Linked DNA regions of Saccharomyces cerevisiae S288C. The protein of the gene in region 4 interacts with the protein of the main gene of each other region in a pairwise test. Each region holds a gene or a part of one and is shown on either strand. Other genes may lie near its edges. The genes, in order: NOP4, BRX1, SPB1 and RRP14.

The links.
Region 1: the proteins of RRP14 (region 4) and NOP4 interact in binary tests that used the Saccharomyces cerevisiae proteins (3 or more experiments, as listed by UniProt).
Region 2: the proteins of RRP14 (region 4) and BRX1 interact in a two-hybrid assay, tested with the Saccharomyces cerevisiae proteins (one study listed by BioGRID).
Region 3: the proteins of RRP14 (region 4) and SPB1 interact in binary tests that used the Saccharomyces cerevisiae proteins (3 or more experiments, as listed by UniProt).

What each region holds. Positions count from the first base shown.
Region 1 is NC_001148.4:468,235-474,701, forward strand, and holds NOP4 (mRNA-binding ribosome biosynthesis protein NOP4), read left to right. Parts: upstream 1-1,704; coding exon 1,705-3,762; downstream 3,763-6,467. Other genes in the region: tethering complex subunit VPS16, read left to right, coding at 1-1,422; cyclin-dependent serine/threonine protein kinase SSN3, read right to left, coding at 4,806-6,467. UniProt on the Saccharomyces cerevisiae protein: Required for 60S ribosomal subunit synthesis. Probably involved in the processing of 27S rRNA to produce mature 25S rRNA.
Region 2 is NC_001147.6:184,470-190,000, forward strand, and holds BRX1 (ribosome biogenesis protein BRX1), read right to left. Parts: upstream 2,255-5,531; coding exon 1,379-2,254; downstream 1-1,378. Other genes in the region: AVO1 (Avo1p), read left to right, coding at 1-743; ATP19 (F1F0 ATP synthase subunit k), read left to right, coding at 969-1,175; MDM20 (Mdm20p), read left to right, coding at 2,555-4,945; YOL075C (uncharacterized protein), read right to left, coding at 5,189-5,531. UniProt on the Saccharomyces cerevisiae protein: Required for biogenesis of the 60S ribosomal subunit.
Region 3 is NC_001135.5:29,394-36,553, reverse strand, and holds SPB1 (27S pre-rRNA (guanosine2922-2'-O)-methyltransferase), read right to left. Parts: upstream 5,106-7,160; coding exon 2,580-5,105; downstream 1-2,579. Other genes in the region: LRE1 (Lre1p), read right to left, coding at 1-689; PBN1 (Pbn1p), read left to right, coding at 1,161-2,411; RDT1 (Rdt1p), read right to left, coding at 5,558-5,644. UniProt on the Saccharomyces cerevisiae protein: Required for proper assembly of pre-ribosomal particles during the biogenesis of the 60S ribosomal subunit. Specifically methylates the guanosine in position 2922 of the 25S rRNA at the stage of 27S pre-rRNA maturation.
Region 4 is NC_001143.9:280,283-284,877, reverse strand, and holds RRP14 (ribosome biosynthesis protein RRP14), read left to right. Parts: upstream 1-2,548; coding exon 2,549-3,853; downstream 3,854-4,595. Other genes in the region: TEF4 (translation elongation factor EF1B gamma), read right to left, coding at 423-1,456, 1,783-1,987; HOT13 (Hot13p), read right to left, coding at 4,019-4,369. UniProt on the Saccharomyces cerevisiae protein: Involved in ribosome biogenesis and cell polarity. Required for the synthesis of both 40S and 60S ribosomal subunits and may also play some direct role in correct positioning of the mitotic spindle during mitosis.

The DNA.
Region 1 (6,467 bases), on a different chromosome or scaffold from region 4:
GCAATTGAAATATTAAAGAATTTTGTCTTAGAGAAGGGTGTACTGGACTGTATTGCTGCTGCAATAGACGAATTTGAACCTAAACTACAGAAGATGTTGTTGAACGCTGCATCTTATGGAAAAGCTTCTTTGCAGTACAAGTCATTTGACGCTAGTATATTTGTGAATGCGTGTAATACGATAAAATTATTAAACTGCTTCAGAAGTTTTGGTATTTTTTTGACTGTGGAGGAATACAGGTGTATTTCTTTGAAAGGTGTCATTGATAGGCTGTTGAAGTATCACAGATATTATGAGTGCATACAGATATGCAAATTGGCCAATGAACGATTTCTGTTAGGATACGTGTTTACTGAGTGGGCAAAGGATAAAATCAAGGGTAGTCCTGACATGGAAGATGATGAGTTACTAGACAAAATCAAATCTCGACTAAGTGTTATAGATATGACGGATACATTACAAATGGTAGCAGTTGCGAAAGTTGCATATCTTGAAGGAAGGTTCCAGTTATCCCGTAATTTAGCTTTATTAGAGAAAAACGAAGAAGCTAGAATTGAGCAACTGTATAATCTTGATGATGATAGTATAGCGCTAAAGGAGTGTATCAAAGTACAAAATTACAGTCTGACAATTTCATTACTGATTGCACTTTCCAAAAAGCTGACAAACTCTCAACTGACGAAGCTTTTGATCATTGATATGTTCAACAATCCCTTATATCTCTATTATATGAGAATGGATAAAGCATACTTGTACGATTTTTACCGCCAAACTGACCGATTTATTGACTTGGCTCACGTATTACTGCAGCAGGGAAAAGAACAGCAATCTTTACACAGCTTTTTACCGCAAATTAAGGACCTTTATAGCCAAGTTCAAAACAGTGAAGTGGTCAACAATACAATAGAACAACTTCAAAGACAGGAAAAGTTGTGGATATACCAAGAATCATTAGGCAAAAGATTTGCTATATCATTCACTAATATGACTTTAGATCAAACGCTTTCGAAGTTAATAGAAACAGGGCAAGATAAACAGGTGAAAGAAATAGTTAAAAAGTTCAAAATAAGCGAAAAAAAGCTGTATCACCTGAAATGTAAAACGTTAGTCGAAGCTAAGAAGTTTGACGAACTACTACAGTTTGCTCAGTCGCGGAAATCACCAATTGGTTACATGCCTTTCTACACATACTTAAAAAGCAGAGGCCATATGGATAAAGCTAGTCCTTATGTTAATATGATACCTGGCCTTTCGTATCAGGAAAAGAAAAAGCTTTATGTGGAGTGCAGGGGTTTTCGTGATGCAATTCAACTAGCAGGAAAGGAAAAAGACATTCCAGGCTTAAAGGAGATATATAATATTATACCACCTAATGAGCCGGAATTAAAGGCATTAGCAAATGAAACTATGAGCAGGATATAGAACTCATAATTTATAGACGTTGTGGATATCTAGCCGCATATCAAATAATTAAATGCTGCCATTACGTTTGTGCGGTTATATATGTTGGCTCCCTATAGGGTTACCCATGGAACGGCGAAGGAAAAAAAAAATAATTTTCACTGAAAAATTTCAAGAGTCTATCTCATCTCATCGTTTATTCTGAATTAAATACTACATACAAAATCTTTTTATTAGTAAAATAGTGAGATTTCTTCGTGAACTAGTGAAAAGCTATCAATATTACCAATCTACCAAAGTGAGATGGAAGAAACAATAGAAAATGTTGAAGTGCCTTCTAGTAATGTCTCAAAACAAAATGACGACGGCCTAGATATGAAGACTTTGTTTGTGAGGTCTATACCCCAGGATGTCACAGATGAGCAGCTGGCAGATTTCTTTTCCAATTTTGCTCCGATCAAGCATGCGGTAGTTGTTAAGGACACGAATAAAAGGTCCAGGGGCTTCGGGTTCGTTAGTTTTGCTGTAGAGGATGACACAAAAGAAGCCCTAGCTAAGGCCAGAAAGACCAAATTTAACGGACATATCTTGAGGGTAGACATTGCTAAAAGAAGAGATCGTTCAAAGAAAACATCAGAAGTGGTTGAAAAGAGCACACCTGAGTCATCTGAGAAAATAACGGGCCAGAACAATGAAGATGAGGACGATGCTGATGGTGAAGACTCCATGCTAAAAGGTAAACCGAAATTAATTATCAGAAATATGCCATGGAGTTGTCGTGATCCAGTTAAATTGAAAAAGATCTTTGGTAGATATGGTACCGTCGTGGAGGCTACCATTCCAAGGAAGCGTGATGGTAAATTGTGTGGATTTGCGTTTGTTACTATGAAGAAAATCAGTAATTGTAGAATTGCTTTGGAAAACACCAAAGACTTGAAAATTGATGGTAGAAAGGTGGCTGTTGATTTTGCTGTTCAAAAAAACAGATGGGAAGATTACAAAAAAGCCCAGCCAGAAATGAATGACAAAGATGATAACGAGTCAGGAAATGAAGATGCTGAAGAAAACCATGACGACGAAGAAGATGAAAATGAAGAGGAAGATAGACAAGTAGATCAAGCTTCAAAAAACAAAGAATCGAAACGTAAAGCACAAAACAAAAGGGAAGATTTTTCTGTTTTTGTTCGTAACGTCCCTTATGATGCCACTGAAGAATCTTTGGCTCCGCACTTCAGTAAATTTGGCAGCGTTAAATACGCATTACCTGTTATCGATAAGTCTACGGGGTTGGCTAAAGGTACGGCCTTTGTAGCCTTCAAAGACCAATATACATATAACGAGTGTATCAAAAATGCGCCTGCGGCTGGCTCTACCTCTTTATTGATAGGTGATGATGTCATGCCTGAGTATGTGTATGAAGGTCGTGTTCTGTCCATTACTCCAACGTTAGTAAGAGAGGATGCTGGAAGAATGGCAGAAAAGAACGCCGCCAAAAGAAAGGAGGCCCTAGGTAAAGCGCCAGGCGAAAAAGATAGACGTAACTTATATTTGCTGAATGAAGGTAGAGTTGTTGAAGGCTCAAAAATGGCTGATTTGTTAACCAACACTGACATGGAGATCAGAGAAAAATCTTACAAATTAAGAGTGGAGCAACTGAAAAAGAACCCATCTTTGCATTTGTCGATGACTAGGTTGGCTATCAGAAATCTTCCTAGAGCAATGAATGATAAAGCATTAAAGGCGTTAGCTCGTAAAGCTGTCGTGGAATTTGCTACAGAAGTTAAAAATAAGGAAAGACATCCATTGAGTAAAGAAGAGATTATCAGATCTACAAAGGAAAAATACAAGTTCATGGGTCCAGATGAGATTGAAGCTCAAAAAAAGAAAGACAAAAAAAGTGGTGTTGTCAAGCAAGCAAAAGTTATAATGGAAGTTAAAGGATCAACTGCGGGAAGAAGTAGAGGTTACGGTTTTGTAGAATTCAGAGATCATAAAAACGCTTTGATGGGCTTAAGGTGGTTGAATTGTCATGCCGTTACCTCCGATGAAATTTTAGAGGGTTTGAATGATGATGAAAAGAAACAAGTAGACAATGACTTAGGCAAAGGAAGACGTCTTTGTGTTGAATTTGCGATTGAGAACTCTAACGTCGTAAAGAGAAGAAGGGAACAATTGAAGCAAGCAAGAACCAAGAGAACAAGACCAGATAATGAAGATACTGGAGATGTCGGAGAATCCGAGAATAAGAAGCCAAAAAAAGAAGAAGCAACGACGCCCACCAATCCCGATGACAAAAAGATGGGCGATGATATAAAGAGAATAATCGGGTTCAAGCGTAAGAGAAAGCACGCAAAAAAATAGAGGTAGAACCATATTTATAGGAATTTCGATTTGTATTCTCTTTACGTATGTACATTATTTTTCAAAGAGTAGATAGATGAATCTCTAACGTACTCGAAAGCTTTTATGTCGTTATTTTAGTACTGTTTTACGAGAAGCGCGAGAAACTCTCTACATATACTGTCCAGCATCTCAGTAAATCATACTGAAACCTTATTACCAGTATCGCTCCTAGACGTTCCGTTTGAAGTAATAGGCAAGACGAGAATTATTTATTTCCCATGATATACATAATGGTTATAAGTAGACCGCAAATAAAAGTATGTAAAATTAGCTATGTTTCTACATTGTTTGTGCAATGACTTTTAGGTTCGGCTGGTCATTAATAACTAGGTGATGCTGAATTCACGTATCTTATTAGATACATTTAGAATTCATGACTTCTCCTTTGTATGAGCGTGTCCCTCCTTTTCTTGATGGTTTCAGCCCTTCTACATACTACACAATGTACTTTGTTAACCGATGATAACTCTACTTTATACGTAGTTTAGACTTTGAACGGGATGAACTGGTTGTTTCATCCAATGTTTTCGTAAAGTCATTCTTTTTTATGGAAAATGTACAAAGTTGTTTATATTTTTTGCTATGGTTATTAACCTGAATACCATTAACAGATGTGTTATAATGGGAACATATTACTATTGCCGATAAGTTACGAACAAACCTACTACTACCATTATATAAAAATTAAGGGGGGTACTTGAAGTCTTTTCTTTCTTCTTTTTTGGGAATGCATGAGATATTCATATGTTTTAAAGCCCCATTAGTTGAGATGAATTATGACGAAATTCGCATACATCTGCGGAGAACAGGGTTTTAGCTCGACCTAAAATCAACCCATTATTTTACCTGAATGTTGCAGACTTGCATTCTTAGTGCCTCTAAAGCGAAAAATTGAAACTGTATGCCGATTTAAATACTATAAAGATAAAAAAAAGTTTAATGAATATAATAGTGACAGTGCTGTGGAATGAAAAATTCCAAATATATATAAAAATAGAAGCCTATCTTCTGTTTTTCTTTCGAGATGGCTCATCTGATGCATTGTTTCCTGACACCGCAGCAGCGGCTGCTGCTGCCGCGGCCAGAATTCTACGGTTAACACCAAGCCCACCTAACGCATTTGCAGCGGCACCTGCGGTGATTCCTGAAGCTTGTGTATTGTTTTTCGTTCTTGATCCAAGATTCATGATGTCATTATCGTTCGTGTGAATTCTTCTTGCCGGGTATTTGTAAGTTAGACCTTCAAATACATTTTCACTAACAGGAATATCACTTTCTGTGAAGTACTTATGTTCCAACGCATTAAATGCATCTATTCTTTTAATTGGATCATAATTTAACAAGTGGTAAAGTAAGCTTAAAGCATGCTTGTCCCTTCCTCCCGCGGAATGATACCATGTAGCAAGGTTATCCCTATACTTTGGAAACTTCGTAATTTGATCATATTCTGGATACTTCTCCAAATAAGGCCAAATTTTTTGATCGGGAGTGCCAAGAACTTCCAAAATTCTCTGTAGTTGATTCACTTGAAATGGAACAGTCTTTTTAGAGTCTAGTTTAGCTTCTTCACCTTTAAATATGGGCTGTAATCCTATCAGTTCTGCAAAAATGCAGCCAACGGACCATAAATCAACCGCAGGGGTATAGTGCCGTGCTCCCAATAGCAACTCAGGTGCACGGTACCATATAGTGACAACCACTTTATCCCCAGTATAGAGGGTTTGCAGCATATTATGAAATTTTCTGGCCAAACCTAAATCACCAATTTTAACACATCCATCTATGGTCACCATTATATTTGCGGGTTTCAAATCTCGATGAAGCACCCAATTTTGATGAAGATACGATACGCCGTCTAAAAGCTGCCACATAATAGACCGAACCATTCTTGGTGGTATCATCCTTTTTTCGGGATGGGAATGGAAGTGGATAATTTGTAGCAGATCATGCTCCGCATATTCGTATACCATATGGACACATTTCCTTTCCAAAAAAATTTCCACTAATGTGGTTAAATGCTTGTTGTGCAATTCTCGACATAATGCCATTTCTCTACAGGCACTCTGAGATATTCCCGTATAATGCAATTGTTCGACGCCATCCTTCTCTGTCTTGAACTTTTTAATGGCATAAAATACCGTCAGCGGTTTTTTAATGAGGGTTTGTTTTTGGGAATTATAGTGCGGGGATACATCTTCCCTCGTAGTTCGTATTCTTCCGGGGGTCACTCCTTCATCCTTTAACAAGTTTCTTCTTAATGCGTTTGTATTTGCCTGCATGTCCATTGAAGAGCTTGATTTTGGTTGCGTGCTGTCAAACTGCGGAATTTTCGCATTGGTACCATTCAGACTAGAACCATTAGCGGAATTGGTACCGGAGTTGATTTGTCTTTTCGCTTTGTAAACTTTACCATATGTGCCCGCAGCAATGTAGCCAATAACTTCGTACTTTTCTAAGACAGATACCCGCATTCTATCTTTTCTTGCCCTATAAGGTCCAATAGTAAAAACATCATTATTGGCCATTAGCATCGGGGCTTTTCCATGCACACTTCCGATTGTGTTTTTCTTTCCAACGAACGATTGAGCTTGCTGTTGTCCTTGTACCTGCATAGGCCTTTGGTACATTGGCTGATAGGAGTTTTGTGCTCTATCCTTGCCATT
Region 2 (5,531 bases), on a different chromosome or scaffold from region 4:
TGAAACCTGACCTAAAGAAGCCCGTTTTGCCAACGATCCAAAGTAATGATCTAACTCCGTTAACTTTGGAGCCTCTGAACTCTTATCTCAAAGCAGATGCTGGAGGGGCTGTGGCTGCCATTCCTGAAAACACGAAAGTTACATCCAAAGCTAAGAAGATATCCACGAAGTATAAGCTGGGCTTGGCAAAGCAGCATTCGTCATCAAGTGTTGCTAGTGGAAGTGTTTCAACGGCTGGCGGTCTCGCCAATGGAAATGGGTTTTTCAAGAACAAGAATTCATCCAAATCCTCTTTGCATGGGACACTGCAGTTTCATAATATAAACCGTTCTCAGAGTACGATGGAGCACACGCCTGACACTCCAAATGGAGTTGGAGATAACTTCCAAGATCTTTTTACCGGAGCGTATCATAAATATAAGGTATGGAGAAGGCAGCAAATGTCATTTATAAACAAGCATGAAAGAACACTAGCCATTGATGGCGACTACATATACATTGTACCCCCGGAGGGACGTATACATTGGCATGATAATGTAAAGACTAAGTCGTTACACATTAGTCAAGTGGTTCTTGTCAAAAAATCCAAAAGAGTCCCTGAGCATTTCAAAATTTTCGTAAGAAGAGAGGGGCAAGATGATATCAAAAGGTACTACTTTGAAGCAGTTTCAGGTCAAGAGTGTACTGAGATCGTGACGCGATTACAAAACTTATTAAGCGCTTATAGAATGAATCATAAATAAGTAAAACCCATTATACTGCATCTTACCAGCATTAATTTTGGTTTATATCTAAATATGGTATAGAAAATACTTCATCGCGATCTCGATGGTGATTGGTCAGAGTCCGCTTCTCGATGCAAAGGGAAAAAAAAGAGCTTTTTAGGAGCAAGTCCCCCCATAGAGCACATAACTCGTTAGCATTGAATAAGGCCAGGTGACTTCAAATAATAATTTATAACTACGACAATGGGTGCTGCTTATCATTTCATGGGGAAAGCTATCCCTCCACACCAACTAGCCATTGGGACATTAGGACTGCTAGGTTTATTGGTTGTTCCAAATCCTTTTAAAAGCGCAAAGCCAAAAACAGTCGACATCAAAACAGACAACAAAGACGAGGAAAAATTCATTGAAAACTACTTAAAGAAACATTCGGAAAAGCAAGATGCGTAAATATAGCTTGATTGCTGCGCGGTTGAAGATCTTTTGTACATACAATAAATATTCTTTATATATACAGCTTTCGATATTCAAGATTTAAACATTAAATTATTAAAAAGAGGTCTATAACTAGACAGTTGCTACATCCACTCTTTTCTTGTTATATCTTTTTAATATACAATGTTATGTAAAACTCTCTGATAGTATTATGCTTATTATTTAAACAAGGCATCGTTTGATAAAGGATCGGCGGCAAGAACATTCTCTCTTCTCTTAATTTTTCTTTCCACAGCAGCTTCAGCTCTAGACTTTGCCTCCTCAGCAGCTTGTTGTTTAATTTGAGCTCTTACGACGTTTGGCGAAACATATTGTTTATTTTCATAGATCTTTGGACCACCAAATGAACCTTCTAGGATCAAAATGACAGTCATAACAAACCTAGGGCCAATTTCCACTAATGATATGTCTTCTTCGCCATCTTCATATTCTTCTTTGTTCTTAGTACTGTGTGAGATCTCATATGTCCTCACCCATATTTTATCATCTACAATACTGAAGGACATGACGTGATCAATAAATGGCTTAGATTTTCTAGCATTTGGTGGTACACCAAAATTATGCACTAGCAACTCCTTAATTAATTGGTAGTGTGGGGAGGATTCGAAACGTTGATCAAACGACAATACCGGACGAGAACCCTTTAAACAGTTACCTGTAAAATTCAACTCATCCATAGTATGCAAGTTTTGAATGTAAAATTTTATAGTTGGCCCATTTGGCGGCTTGGATAACCATAGATACAAATCTTGGTGTTTTCTGGCCTCAAAGAATAGAACATTATTACAATTGTACAACTCAGCGATTTCGTTCAACTGTTGAAGATCCTTTTTAGTATCCAATTTTGGCTCCTTTCTGGAATGAGGCAATAATCCGCTTAAGTCTTGAATTAAATGACGATGTCTATAGTTAACACCTCTACTCGAAATCAGAAGAGTTCTTTGCTTGTTCATAAATTGCTTGACATTGCCTTGCTTCTTTTCAGATTTATTATCTTTGCTCTTTCCTGCGAGGGCTTTGTAGATAGAAGACATCTTTGGTTGAACTCTTTCAACACCTGACGAATGTATAAAGAAAGACGTGAAGCAAAATAAGGCTAAGTAACCTTCTAACTCGTAAATATTATAGCAATTTCTGTATCTTTTTAGGTGATAGATTCTTTGAGAACCATCGCGATGAGCATCTAAAATTTTTCAGTCACCTTTAACGAAAATCACTGTCCACGGACCGCCGAGGGCTTTAGGAAAATAAATAATAAATGTCAGCTGCAACAGAATTCATTGGCGAAGCAACGATACATAACGAGCTCGGTACAGCAATCATCGCATCGAAGCATGTCCGACAAGATACAGGAGGAGATATTAGGACTAGTAAGCAGGTCCAACTTCAAACAATGCTATGCAAAACTGGGGCAATTGCAAAAACAATTTCCCAATGCGTTGTACTTCAAGATTTTGGAAACCTATGTTAAATTCAAGCAGTCACCTGGTAAGTTCGATTACAATAAACTGCTAGAAGAACCATATGGGCTGAAAGGGACAACGATTACGGGCGACACGCGTTCCTTGGAGTTTTTGCACAACTTCTTCGTAGAGTTAGGGAAATACGACGAAGCATTGCACGTGTATGAAAGAGGAAATTTCAAATTCCCTAGCTACGAATTGTCTTATCACTGGTTTATGAAAGCATTGGAAGATTCCAATTATAACCAAATGAGCAAAGCATCTCTACAGCTAGCTAAATACAGTGACAGTGGAAACCTGCCTAAAAGAGCATATTATTTTTGGAATGCAATCTCGATTTTAGCCGTATCAAGGTTTCAGGAAAACACTCTTTCAGATCCCAAGAAAATTTTGCTCTCCAGGCTAGCGCGCCAGTCTTTGTTAGACTTGAAACCATTTCAAAATGTTCAAGAGATTATAGTTTATTGTTTGGTGTTGGATGAACTATTCCCTCAATCTAGAGAAATCTCGGAAGAGATTGTTGCGATTACCTTTGCCAATTTTGATACTTCAGTAAACTTGTATTTGAAAAACTTTATCTTGAAGCATACCAAGTTATTGAATTCTCCACAAAAACTTTTTGAAGTTTGTTCAAAACTTATTGAAAAGGGCCTTGATGATTATGAATTGATCACAAACTTGATTGATGCTGCCTACAAACTTTCTAAATCTAAAGACGAAGTCAAACAATGGATTGATGAAAATTTGGGAGACTCAAGGAATACTCGATTGGCGCGCTTGAAACTTGATATAATGTACACCGATTCGGTTTCGGAATCATCTTTGTCGTACTATTTATCAAAGTACCATAACAAACCTTGTTGTTCAATCGATTTGAATCATTACAGCGGCCACATTAACATAGATATGCTTAAGAGCATTATGTCTAAGTACGATCCAGAGGATAAGGATTTGATTCATCATTGTAATATTCTAGAATTGGGACTTATTGGAAGCGACTCAATCAATAACTATAACAAGTTTAAGGGGACCCTGGAAAAAAAATCGGTAACGGATTATTCCTCCTGTTCTACATTCTTATTAGAAATAGTCAAGGACAAGTGCAAGAAAACTAATCCTGAATTGAAAGACGTGCTTTTGTGTATAACGATATTGGAAAATTACCAAGCCAAGGACCCTCATAACTTCGATACTATGTGCTGGCTGATTGTTTTATACATGTACCTGGGTTTAGTTCCCGATGCTTATTTCCATTTCATAAACCTAAAGATTAAAAACGTTCAAACAGATTCCCTAGATTACATGATATTCTCGAGATTTTCTACTTTGTTCCCGAATAAACAGAGCGATTTTTACTCCAAGACATTCCATGAACATAATAATTTATACGATACATCACTGGCTAATTTACCAAGATATATTCAGGTGGCATTCGAAAGAAATTCATATAGCAAAATACTAGGAATGCTCGAGATGAGGGATAAACTAATGAAATCCTATACAAGATGGACCAAAACTTTAGAAAACTTACAGTTCTCACGTTTATGCAACGACAAGCGCGGCCACCTACTACAAAAATTACACGAAGATTGGAGATCTTTAGAAATGACGCAAAGTGTATCATTTTCTGACAATAGAGACTTTTCCATATTAGATGAAAATTTTGCCCAATTTCTTAACCGTGGTAAAATTTTGGAATATGCTAACTTGAATGAAGAATCAATTTTTCTAACTTTGATAAGAGAACTTATTATTGAAGCTTTGCCAAATGGGGAGAAAACGGAACAAATAAGTGCGCTCTTAAAAAAACTTCCATCAATTAACCTTGAAGAGTTGTTGAATAATAATTTAACTGAAGTGGAGTCAGCGTCATTTCTGATTTTTTTCGAAATTTACGAAAATAACGGTAAAAATCTACATGATTTAATTTCTAGGTTGATGAAAGTCCCAATAAATGCAAAACAAAACTGGATGGTATCCCATACTTACCTTACTAAAATGGCAACCTTAAAAACACTAGACAGTTTGAAGAGAATCAAAGATAAAGAAATTCAAAAACTAATCAAAAACTCCCTCAAGGAGTTGAGGAGTTGTTGCGATGATGTATTTAAAGGTTATTCTAAAGCTTTAGTACAAGCATATGAAGAATTAAAAAAAGATGAATGTGGCAACTTGTTAAAAGAACTTGATGTTAAAGCTGAAAATGTCAAGAACATTAAAAATTCATTACTAGGCATCCAAAAAAGTGTAAGAAATTTATGAACAAAAATTACATCTCCATTATAGAGCAGTCGCAGATAGACAATTTTCTTTTATTTTTTTTTTTTTAGGTAGATAAAATAACATGTATCGCAAGACTTTTATATCAGCAGCCTTTTCAAGCTCCATAATTTCTGAAAGAAAAAGTAGTATATGATTTTTGAGGAGAATAAATTTCAAAAAATCATAGGAAAATAATAACGATGTTCCTCCCGTTAATTTACAGGTCTATAAGTATTTTTCCAATCACCATTTTATCCACTCCAATTTTGCTTTTAAAATAAAAAATGCAATAAGGCGATAAATTATGGCTACGCACACAATGATTCCCAGGTACTTTTGCGTATTTCTGACTAAACCATAAGAAACCAACACATCATGGCCATTCGCAAATTCACAAGTACCGTCTGAATTTTTCCCGCCATCTTCGCAGGTTAATTTCAAATTACCTGGGAATGCGAAATTAATGATGATCATAGATGTATACCCTACAGGGTTCAAATAGTTAAAACCCTTTAATACTCTCGACATGCCTAGTGACATTAACCCTGACATCTGAGTACCAATGGATAAAATAATGGAAATGCAG
Region 3 (7,160 bases), on a different chromosome or scaffold from region 4:
GTCGGTGACCCATTGAGAGCTGAATCATCTACATCAATGGCCTGTTCAGATACACAAAGGGAAGGCCGCAGTGGGGATAATAGTGCTGTTGGAAGCTTTTGCTCATAATATTCATTTTTCGATTCTGGTTCAATTAAGGAGTCCTCTTCTTCTTTAATCATAGAGTTAGAACCGGCTGCACAATTGCCCTTATCTACCATAACCTCCAAATCAGGAGGAGCGGATTCAGATCTTCTATGTGATTTAAATGACCTAGGCCTTGTCTTCAACGCATCGTCAAGGTTAATAATGGCATCTGGGACGCCTTTAACTGGCGATGAAAAACTTGGCTCTTCACTAATGAAAAATCGTGGACTTGGTGTTTGCAGATTGTTCTTTGGTGATAACGGATAAAATCTTGGTTCAGGCAAATCTAACGTTCCAGCGTCTTCATTGGTTTTGCAAGGAAATCTATTGTAGCGTATTGGCGATAATGTACTTGATACAGCAGTTGGGGCAGTTGAAGGACAATTTTCAGCCGCCTGTGGAGGTGGTAAATTCACAATTGCTGCAGGCTGTTTCAAAAAATCAAAATCTCCTGATATTGCTAGCGATCTGCGATGGCGGTGACCTCTTTTGGATGGTGTAGACAAAGTATTTACAGGATTTGGCTCTGATATTTGCACATGTTGAGTATGCGTATTGGGCATTTTCCTATTCTGAGAAGGAGTATGAAATAATTGCCGAGGGTTCAGAATGCTCTTTTAGAAATAAAAATGAATGTAAATAGTTGGAATGTATCTTTAAGTAGACAAATGCAGGTAAGTTTTAGTGGCCTTTGCGGATTAACAGTATGCTCTTAGTGCAAAACACGAAAAGAGCTCCCAATCTTTGAACACAATCGACCACGGAGGAACAATACACGTAGAAGGGGATAACTAAAACTTTGTCGTGCAAGAGTATTGGAGGACACACTAACAGCAGAACTTTGCCTTCTTAACTCTTGTTTATGATTGCTTGAAGTATTACACATGTAATAAAAGATGATTATTTTTTTTTTCCTAAAAAAAGTTCCTTTCTTTGAAGATCCCCCTGATAAAAAAGATCAAATAATGGAAACGCTAATCATAATCAAATCGGGAGGAGAATAAACGCAAGAAGTGTGCGTTTCTAGCTGAGTAATGGTGACAAGACATAGAGTGACTGTACTCTACAATGCCCCTGAGGATATCGGTAATCATATGCGCCAAAATGACACTCATTTGACTGTTCGTGGAGGTTCTGGTGTGGTTTTACAACAAAGGTGGCTATTAGAGAGGACTGGAAGCTTGGATAAATCCTTTACGAGAATCACTTGGAGGCCCAGAGCGGACTTGGCTAGAAGTTTAAGCGTTATAGAAAATGAACTGAGTGCTGGCTTTTCAGTTTACTCAAATTCTTCGGATGTGCCGGAAAGGTTTATTACTAACCCAGTCTACAATTCATTTCACAGTGAGAAGTTTGACATAGAGCAGTACTTGCCTCCCGAAGTAGATTTGAATCTGTCATGGAATCCAGAAGATTTTACATATGATATATCAGTGGAGCCCACACAAATCCAAATTGTTGAATATCGTCTGTTGAAACAGGGTGAAGAATTTACAATTGCAAGAGTGAAAGATGAGAAACTCGAAGTAGGTGTATTCTTTGTGGATGCAAGTGATGAAAGTGATGTCGATATTGGTGGAATACGTTGTAATTGGAGGATGGACGATGGTAAAATGGAAAGATGTCAGAAAACATCCTTATTGTATAAACAGGGCCATATCGCATACAATCACTCGACGACTACGACATCACTATATCTGAATGAACCTATCGGTTTGCATCCAAAAATCATGATTGATCTCACAGATTTCGAAGAACGCCCTAAATGCATGTATCTAATGCACCTGCAATTGCCGTTAGAATTATTTATCGATAAATTCCAATCCTCTCCCTTACTACTTTTTGGAGAAGACGACTTAGAATTACCAGAATACTCTCTTCGAGATAAGGCATGGGGTTCTGAAAGTATCTTTGAATTGAAAGCCGGCACAATGAATGAAGTGACATTGCATACTAGATATATTGAGCCTTCTAATAATAAAGGGGATAAATTAGAAGTTTCATTTGATCCAGAAGTTATATTAGCCTGCGACACAGGTGACAATAAAGTTTCCCGTAATCCATTTTATAAAAAAGGTCTAGGATATGAATCTCTCTTTACAGACGATACTACATTCCGCCATTTGAACTCGACAACTCTTCTAGTACCAATTCCAAGGCCTGACACAAAGGATTATTCCAAGATCAAAAATGGTACGTTACTATGCTTACTCATCTCCATCATATACATTTTCTCCAAGGTATTTGGTAACAACAAGAAGAAAAGATCAGTAAAACGGGAATAAAAATTGTTCTACTGTGCACTCGTATTTTCTGAATTCAAAACGATAGGTTTCCTATAAGTTTTTTGATGATAATTTGATTAATTCTATGTATACATAATATATCTATTGCTTTCTTTTCCTTTATTTTCAATATTATACAAGGGAATGGAAAAATAATGCTCTTTGTTACTACTTTTTCTTGTGATGCTTCTTTGCGATACGTCTTAGGGCTCTTTGTTCATTCTTCATGACACCATCAACCATCTTATACTTACCCTTAACGCCCTTTGGTCTACCTGCCAAACCTTTGTTCCTACCTGAGGCAACAACCAAAGTAACCTTTGGCTTGGTCTTTGGTTTTTTGGTAACCTTACGCATCAATCTAGAAATTTCTTCAGCCTTGTCCTTCTCTGTCTTGTCTGAATCATCGTTAATCAAGCCCGCCTTCTTCTTGATCTTTTCTAACCGAGCTACGGCACGCATCCTCTTTCTTGCCTTAGCTTCAGCAACCTTCTTAATAGGACGGGCGTTCATTGCCTTTATTTTTTCTTTAATTGCCATCGCTGCCTCCTTAGTAATCGGCTTATTTATCTTTGAATGTTCCTTTTCATCTTCTAAAAACCAATCTGGCAAATTTTCGGTGTCACGGAAGGTGTATCTATTGAAACCTTCATCAACAAGATCATGCTTGTTTTTCTGACCCAATGCTAACTGATGTGCCAAAGTCATGGCTTCAACAGTAGCAATATCAATGTCTCTGGAATGCTTTTCTTTCTTTGTTTGATTTTTTTCTTCCTCTGAATCATAATCAGAATCGAATTCTTCTGATGCATTATCGTTGGCCACAATTTCGAAATCGGAGTCATCACTTGAACTCTCATCCGAAGAATCTGCTTCATCTTGTTTCTGGTGCATTTCTTCATGTTTTCTTTTCTTATTTAATTTAGAAATATCACCAACAGACTCGGAACTCATTATGCCATCATTGACGGTATTTACTGGCAAATCAGGTTCAACGTTATTAAATATCGGATCATTGAAAATCATACGTGCCTTACTACTCAATTTGTGATCACCTTCTTGTCCCTTCAATTTGCTAATCAAATTGGTGATGGCTTCATCATCATCGGAGTCTCCTTCGACACCTTCATCGTCATTGTCTTCGATATAATCTTTACCTTCCTCTTCTTTCTTTTCTAGACTTCCCTCATTAAAACCGGTCCATTCTTCCTCATTATCGCCACCACGTGCTTGCTTAGCTCTAAACTTGGCATCCCTTTCCGACCTTCTAGTTTTATAATCACTATACATGGCATTCAACTCGCTTTCTAAATCGTCCGCATCAGCGGCAGAATCCTTATCTTTGATCATGATGTTTTCATCAATGTAAATATCATTATCTTTGGCTAATTCATCGTCTGTAAAAATCATTCTTTTCTTACCCTTCGCCAAGTCGTTCAAGATACCAGTCTTTTCTGCAGTTTTCAAATTAAACAACGATTCTTTACCCAAACTTGCGGCTTCAATACCAATATCAGTGGGGGTTATCATGTTCATTTGCATTCTCTGTAGTTCCTTTTGCTTCATTTCGTTCTTCCTTCTTCTTTCGCGCTTGACATTTAGACGCTGCTTCTCCTGTAAACCTTGCAAATCTTTTTCAATTTGCTCCTCTTCTGTTAACGGTACTACTTCAATTTCTGTTTTAGCGTCGTCCTTAACTTCGATGCCCAAGATTTCCCTTGCAATCTTTCTCCATCTTAGGATCATTTTAAAATCCTTTTTACCCAAGACTTTTAAATCTTCAATACAGGAACGGAACTCGTCTGTGGTTTGTTTCAATTTCTTCAAGATCTTCCATTCATGGTCATTCTCATCAATTGTAAACTTATTCATTTCTCCAAGCATGCTTATTGGGTCTTCCGTCCTGACAAAATCCAAAATTGAGGTTTCATGATACAGTAAATTATCACCTTCCTCATAACCTTGTCTTTTTCTAACTTTTTTTTCGGGATTATAAATCTTGGACTCCATATTCTGTTGCCCATCTGGCAATTCTTCAAAAACTTCTTTTGGATCCAGTAATCTTGGGTCCAGCCTCTTTGGTGCCTTGAAACCTTTACACACTACAAAAATTTCTGCAGAAACATTTCTTGATGCGGGTGGTTTTGTGGCTTCAACTTTCTCAAACAATTGTTGGAAAACCCAAATCAATTTATTATAATCCTTGGATCTGAAAATTTTAGTAACAAAAGTACCGTTCACCACCAAATTTTCGACGGCCAACTTCAAAGCTTGTAAGGTTAATTGAGATTGGGTGAAAGCATCCTGAACCCAACCCAAACCAACATTAGGAGCACCATCATGCAACACTGTATCAGCTTTCCAAGTCTTCATATAACCCCTCAATTTTGATCTACAATCTTCTGTTGTAATATCACTTTGAAAAGTTATAACATTGGGCATCGGCTTCATTGGAACAATATCAACACCAATAATTAAGGAGTTGACAGGACAGAGTTTGGATGCAACTTGACACCATGAACCAGGAGCAGCACACAGATCAATAACAACCTTCGATTTTTCTAAGAAGTGGCCATACTTTTCATTAATCTGAATAATCTTAAAGGATGAACGAGCACGATAACCTTTCTCCTTTGCTAGATAATAGTATCTATCTAAACGTCCCTTACTATTCTTCTTTTGTGTCTTACCCATTTTTGCCAATCACCTCTATTGAGTTAAATCTAACTACAAACTGAAGCAGAATGAGTATTGAAAGAATCTAAACTTAAACTAACTACTATACTATTATTGCCAATTTTTCATAATGGGCATCGCAAAAAATTTTTCAGACAAAAAGAAACAAGCTGGGTAACCCGCTTTTGCGGTTTTAGTATACTGGAGGAGATTAAAATTAGACAAAAGAATAATAACGTAAGGTGAAAAATGTTTAAACTCAATAGTGTGAGGTTTACGTGGCTATATATACGCAATATATACACTTTAATCCAAATTATCCCTCCCACCTGCTTGCTACTCTTTTGAGATTTATCTTAACGAGCTAAACAGACAGACTTCGGAAGTTCAAGCTGTCCAGAACTCCTTTATAGAGCCAAAAAAAGTAATGCTTTCGATTATTTCTGGTTCTAGAAATTTTTCAATACCCTTTAGTAGTCTTCTTTGCGCCGGATTGCTGGACAAATAGAATTTCTTCTTGACTTAACTATAAAAACAAAAATCTTCTGTCGTATCATAGCTACATGCTGTAGTTTTCGATTAAATACATGCTGCAGTTTTCGATTAAATGCTAATTTTTGTATCCAATATATAGCTATTCATCAATTGAAATATTCATTTTATAAGTAAGATTGAAAAAAAAAAAGAAAACCACAAAGAGGAGCAGAAACGTGGCAATCTAAAGAAAAAAAAGCACCATCTTGCAAACACTAGCACATTTGATAATCATAGAGAACAAAAATAATTCAAAGGTGTGCTTGTAAGTCTTTAAACGCGCCTTTTTCTTTATTTGTCGAGAATCGTGTAAATTTCCCAATACAGTAATTACACGATCCACGCTGTCCCAAAAAAGTTCAAAAAATTTTTCGTGCTTTTCCTTTATTGAAAATCATTTAGTCCAGTTTCATTCTGTGTTCTGTGTTTCTTCGACTTTGAGATTTCTATTGAAGTAGTTATTTATTTACAAAATTTATTGTATTTACACTTATTATAAATTTTCTGTCATCTCGACTTAGTACACCTGGCGCTGGTTGTTATTGGCAATATAATAGACAATATTATCTCATCAATACAACAAATTAAACTCCAGAAGTCACATAAAGTATACAATTAGTCTTGAAGCATCTGATTTTGAAATCTTTTTGGTATCAATTAACGTGCCGGAATACTGTTTGCACGAAGGAATCAAAGATAGGTACTGTGTGCGTCAACAGAACTTAAGCACTAGTGATTTATATTAAAAAAACCAAACAATTAGAACAATTAATTAACAGTGACTTTGAAATTCAGAACTATATTTACGTCGTCTGCAATTAGAATTAAAAGGAAATCAAAAATTCAGATACAAAGTTCATGGCATCTGCTTTGACATATTTGTTATAATTGTGTAAAAGGGCACAGTCAATGAGTAGTAGATAGTAAAGCCTAAATAATTATATGTAGCAATTGCTTCTCTTGAAATTGGGTATCATGGGTGAAAAATTATTGTGCATTTATAGCAAACCTATTAAACAGATCAATGTTTTAGTGAAAATTATGTCACTGGACAATACAAATCTTTGGAAACCGTCCCTAGAATTTGGAATTGGATAATTTAACTCTTTAGAATATAACATCTACCGAAGTACAACAATATCCATTTTATTAACGAAAGTACTGCTACAATGAAAGTATGGGTTATTATTACCTACGAATTTTAATCCTGTTTCCCTAATACTGTAGTCCCATTTTCCTTCTTTTTCCTAGTGAAAAATACATGCCTTGTTTCTGAGTTTTAGAGAATTACCTGCTGCAAAGTAGTAATTCGTTCACCATCAAAGAGTCCTTAATTTTCATTGTTTCGTAAATTCTCAAACAAATTTACAAAGTTTTCAATGGCTTGCAAATATTGTTTTGTTTATTAAACATTTACAAACTTAAATAAACAAACCAACAAATAAATAAACAAATCAACAAATAAATAAACAAATAAATAAACAAAAAACTATGATAAAATATTTCTAAAAATCTAATTGGAAAACAAAAAACTATCCA
Region 4 (4,595 bases):
ATCTTCAGTTCTATCCTAAATTGTTTTCCAGTCTTAAGATAAAATTCATTCCAGTTCGGGTAACATACACCGTTTATGACTGACGCTTCTCTTTACGGAAAATTGTTTTTTTCGCTATTGTTGCAAAAGTACAATGGAAAATGCCCCACTGAAACATGAAATAAGAAGAGAAGAATCAAGTTTATGCAAAATATTGTTAGAGTAACCGCAGCAGATTGTGATACTCAATTAGAGAGATTATTACAATATATATATATATAATGATTACATGGACGTTAATCGTTACATAGAATTAAACCACGCGTAAGTATGGGGTAATCATGAAGTAGACTTCAGGGTTTTTTTCTTTTTTCTTTTGAAAATTCGTTTTGTTTGACTCTTATGTATATTGGGAAGAAAATATGGAAGAAGAGTTATTGAGATTATTTCAAAACCTTACCGTCAACAATTTCCTTATCTTCGCCATTGACAACAACAGGCTTATCCCAAGCCCACATGTTGTTGACAAATTCTTTGTCTTCTTCCTTGGTTGGGTCCAACTTGGTGTATTCGTAAGATTCCCAGTCTGGAGCGACATCAAAGGCTGGAGCGAAATCTTGGCCTCTGACCATAACGGCACCAACAATACCATTATTGTTGTTTTCACCATAGACAACTAAACAACCGAACATGTACTTAGTAGAAGCGGACAATCTGTTGAAAAAACCACCGACCAAGTTGTTGGACATGAAAGTCAAGGTAAGTTCGTCGTTGTATTTGTAACCAACCTTCCAGATGGAGTATTCTTCAGGGTTGTAGTGTTCCCAGAACCATGGCAAAGCAACTGGTCTGGTGTCGTCGTTGGAGTACTTTCTCTTCCAGTCATCCAAGACAAATGTGGACTTTCCTAAAGCTTCCAATGGGTGCTTTGGCTTTTTAGCTGGAGCAGCATCATCTGCTGGCTTAGCTTCGTCCTTCTTCTTTTCAGCCTTTGACTTTTCGGCCTTTGGCTTTTCAGCCTTTTGCTTCTTTGGTGGAGTGTAGGTTAGAGCCTTTTCAGCCAATTTGACTTCAGCAAATGGAGTCTTCACGATTGGAGAAGCAGCAACAGTGTTGAACCATCTCATCAAATGAGGATGCTTAGCTCTCCATTCAGGGCCCAAAATAGTGGCCAAACCAAAAGCCCAAGAACCAGCGGCATGAAGGTCACCTAGAGAAATGTTTTCGGTAGCAACAAAGGTGTAGTCTCTCAATCTAGCATCGAAGACAGCAGCTAGGTTGTCGATTTTAACAAAACAAGCATCAACGTCTTTCTTGTTGTATGGAATCAAACCTTTGAAAGAAAGGAATGGACGAGCAATGTTGCTCATGACATCGGAATTAGCTAGAGATGCCCATCTAAGGATTTGAGACTTTTCGATAACGTCGGAACCTAATAAGCGAGCTCTTTCTTTTTCATCGGCAACTTGATTAGCCACTAAATATACATCATCTCGATGGTTATACAACCATTAATTGAAGAAATGTTAGTAAAACAATCCTTTATATTTTTTCCTGGATTAGGACACGCTTTGTACTTCCTTTTTGTTATTTTGACTTTCATTTTTCTTTAAGAAACATATCAGAAATACAAATATCAACATATGAGAGGTTACCTATTATTACCCATTCAGACAGGGATAACTGTTTGATAAAATTTTTTTTCATCATTATGTTTCGAAGAAAAATGACGTGCCAAATAAACGAACGGGAAACGCGCAAAACAATGTATGTGGAAGTGTTAAAATAAAATATGGAACATACAATAAAATTGGATAGCCAAAGCTTCAGTTAGCTTTAAGCCCTTTGGACCCAAAAATGCAGGGGCTTGCTTCAATGGGAACAAAGAAGCAAACTCGCTAGATTGTTCTAGATCAACGATCTTGACATCTAGTTTAAAGTAAGAAATCAAAGCTTCAGAAGCGTAGTTTCTTGGAGATCTATTAATGTATAAAGTACCTTGGGACATCTTGAATCTATCGAGGGCCAAAATCAAAGAATTGAGTTGGTATTAAGGATGGACACCAGTTTTGAACAAAATTAACGACGGAATGGATGAATTAAATATGAAAAAGAAAGTATTGCAAACTGTTGATGAAAAAAATTTTTCTTTCAATTTTGTCAGCAGCAGAGCGCATTACCCTGCCGGCCACATGCCGAATTAAATTAAATGAGGGCTGCTATTGCCAAATGTGATGGCTTGCCTACAGAGGTTAATTTCCCTTGTTTTGGGCTTCCTCTCTCAACACGATTGACACAAGCAATAGAGGCAAAGGTGTGTAATGAGTTCGTGTACCAATTAAAGTAAAGTAGAGTGGTTTAATTGGGATTACACGATTAAAAAGTTTCACCCAGACACCAAATTGAAAATTTTTTAAAATGAATTCTTTTTATTCTCATCTCCGGTAAAGAAAAGAGGAAAGTACAATAAAAGAGATGAGATGACCAAGAGATGAATAACAAGTGAGGACTGAGACGTTGTTGCAAGTGATAAAGAAAGTCCGGGAATTGAAAGATATAGGAGACTGAGATGAGTAATTCACTTGAGGAGCGCCTTCGTGCTAATTCAAGCGCCTTCGATGGTTTATTGGCTTTAATTCCTGCAAAATACTATTATGATGAAAAAAGTCAAGAGCAATGGAAGGCCAAGAAGAAAACCAAAGAACAGAGTAAAAATGATAAACTGAAAAAATTAGACCCGGAGCAACGTGATGATGAAACATCTAGTACATTAGAAGTAATGAAGAAGAAGGAGAAAGACGCAAAGCCGGTGGTCCTACCTGGTGAAAAATTCAAGCACATGAAAATGCAAAAGCAAAAGGAAGCAACATCAAAAGTGGAAGGAGACTCCGACCTGAACGTAGAAGTAAACGATCCTATGATAATAGCACCAGACGAAGATGAAGAAGAGGAAGAGGATATTAAGGTGATCTTTGATGATGAGGGAAATGAAATACCATTAGAATCTAAAAAAGATACTACAGAGCCCGATAGATCTGTCGAAAAGAAGTCTATTACAGAGGAAGAGAAACTACAAAGAAAGAAAAACTTGGAAGCACTACGTTCCAAGTTACAAGCGAAAATTTCAGATATGAAGAGTAAAAGGAAAGCACCCGGTTCTAGAGAGGCTATTCTTGCTCAAAGGAAACGCAAGGAAGAGTTGAAAAAAAGAAAGCGTCTAGAAAGTGAACAGGAACAGGATCAGGATGAAATTGCGTCTGATTCCGATATGGAAGACATCGATAGTGATTTAGAAAACAATTCGAAAAAAAGATTCAAAAAAGGCAAGAAGGACTCAGAAATTAACGCAGATGGTGTAATGTTTCAAAATATCATATTCGATGATGGTGCAAGGGCCACTTCAGATTTACAAAGGTTAAGAAAAGCTGGTAGAACGAAGGGTCCGGCTAAGAATGATGTAAAATCACACTTAAAGTTATTAGAAGCCAAGAAGAATAAGATGGAGGCGAAAGACGAACTAGAACAAATCAAGCAGAAGGAAAAGGAAAAATGGCAAAAGGCTATGTTACAAGCAGAAGGAATTAAGATTAGGGATGACGAAAAACTACTTCGCAAAGCTATAAAGAGAAAGGAAGCACAAAAGAGAAAGTCTGCGATTGAATGGAGCGAACGTAAGAGGGTTGTGGAAGACACGATATCTGAAAGACAAAAGAGAAGAGAAGAGAATCTGAGGATTAGGAAAGACAACAAGGGTAAAAAGAGAAATAAGCAAGAAAAGATGAAAAGAAAGTATGTCGGTAGTGCCGTACCAAAGAAAAGAGCCGGATTTGAGGGTAGATTAAAAACAGGTAAAAAGAAGGGAGGACCTAAATAATAATCACGATAATAATAACAACAATAATAGATATATATATATGTATGAACATATATATACAGATACATATATATATATATATATCTATATATATACCATCGCATTTTTTCCTTAACGAGAAGAGCACAGCAGAGCTTAAGATGGCATGCATTTATAGAACAACACTCAACACATAGCGGGGGGAGGGTTCTGGAAATACAAATGGTAGTGCAATTTACAGCCTGGATTAAAGGGGGATCTGCAATTGGGACAAATAAGGTTTGAATTGTAGTCGTAATACTCTGCAAACGTCATTTCATGACGGCAAACTCCGCAAATAATCAAGTGTTTATTTGCATCGTCAAGGAGATCATATTTTTCTAGCGGGTGAGAACTTAACTCTTGGTGGCATTCAAAGCACGCATAGTACTTATCACAACATTTAAACCTGATGGCAATTACATCCTTTGGAAGATGCCAGTGGACACATCGAGATTGGTCATCCACTGTCTTACCATAAATGGCAGTTTCGATCATCTATATTTGCAAATTGTAAGTGGTACGTATTTTTTTTTTTATATCATATATGTATATTTAAAGAAACTCGTAAACCGAAACGTTTATTCATCATTATCATCATCATCATCATTATCATCACCATCACACCGCGCGCGCCTATTTAATCATTTTTGTTTTTCCTCGTCTACGGAAGAAAAAAAGGTGTAGGAGCAACGAATAGCATGAATTTTTCTCTAGTTGATTT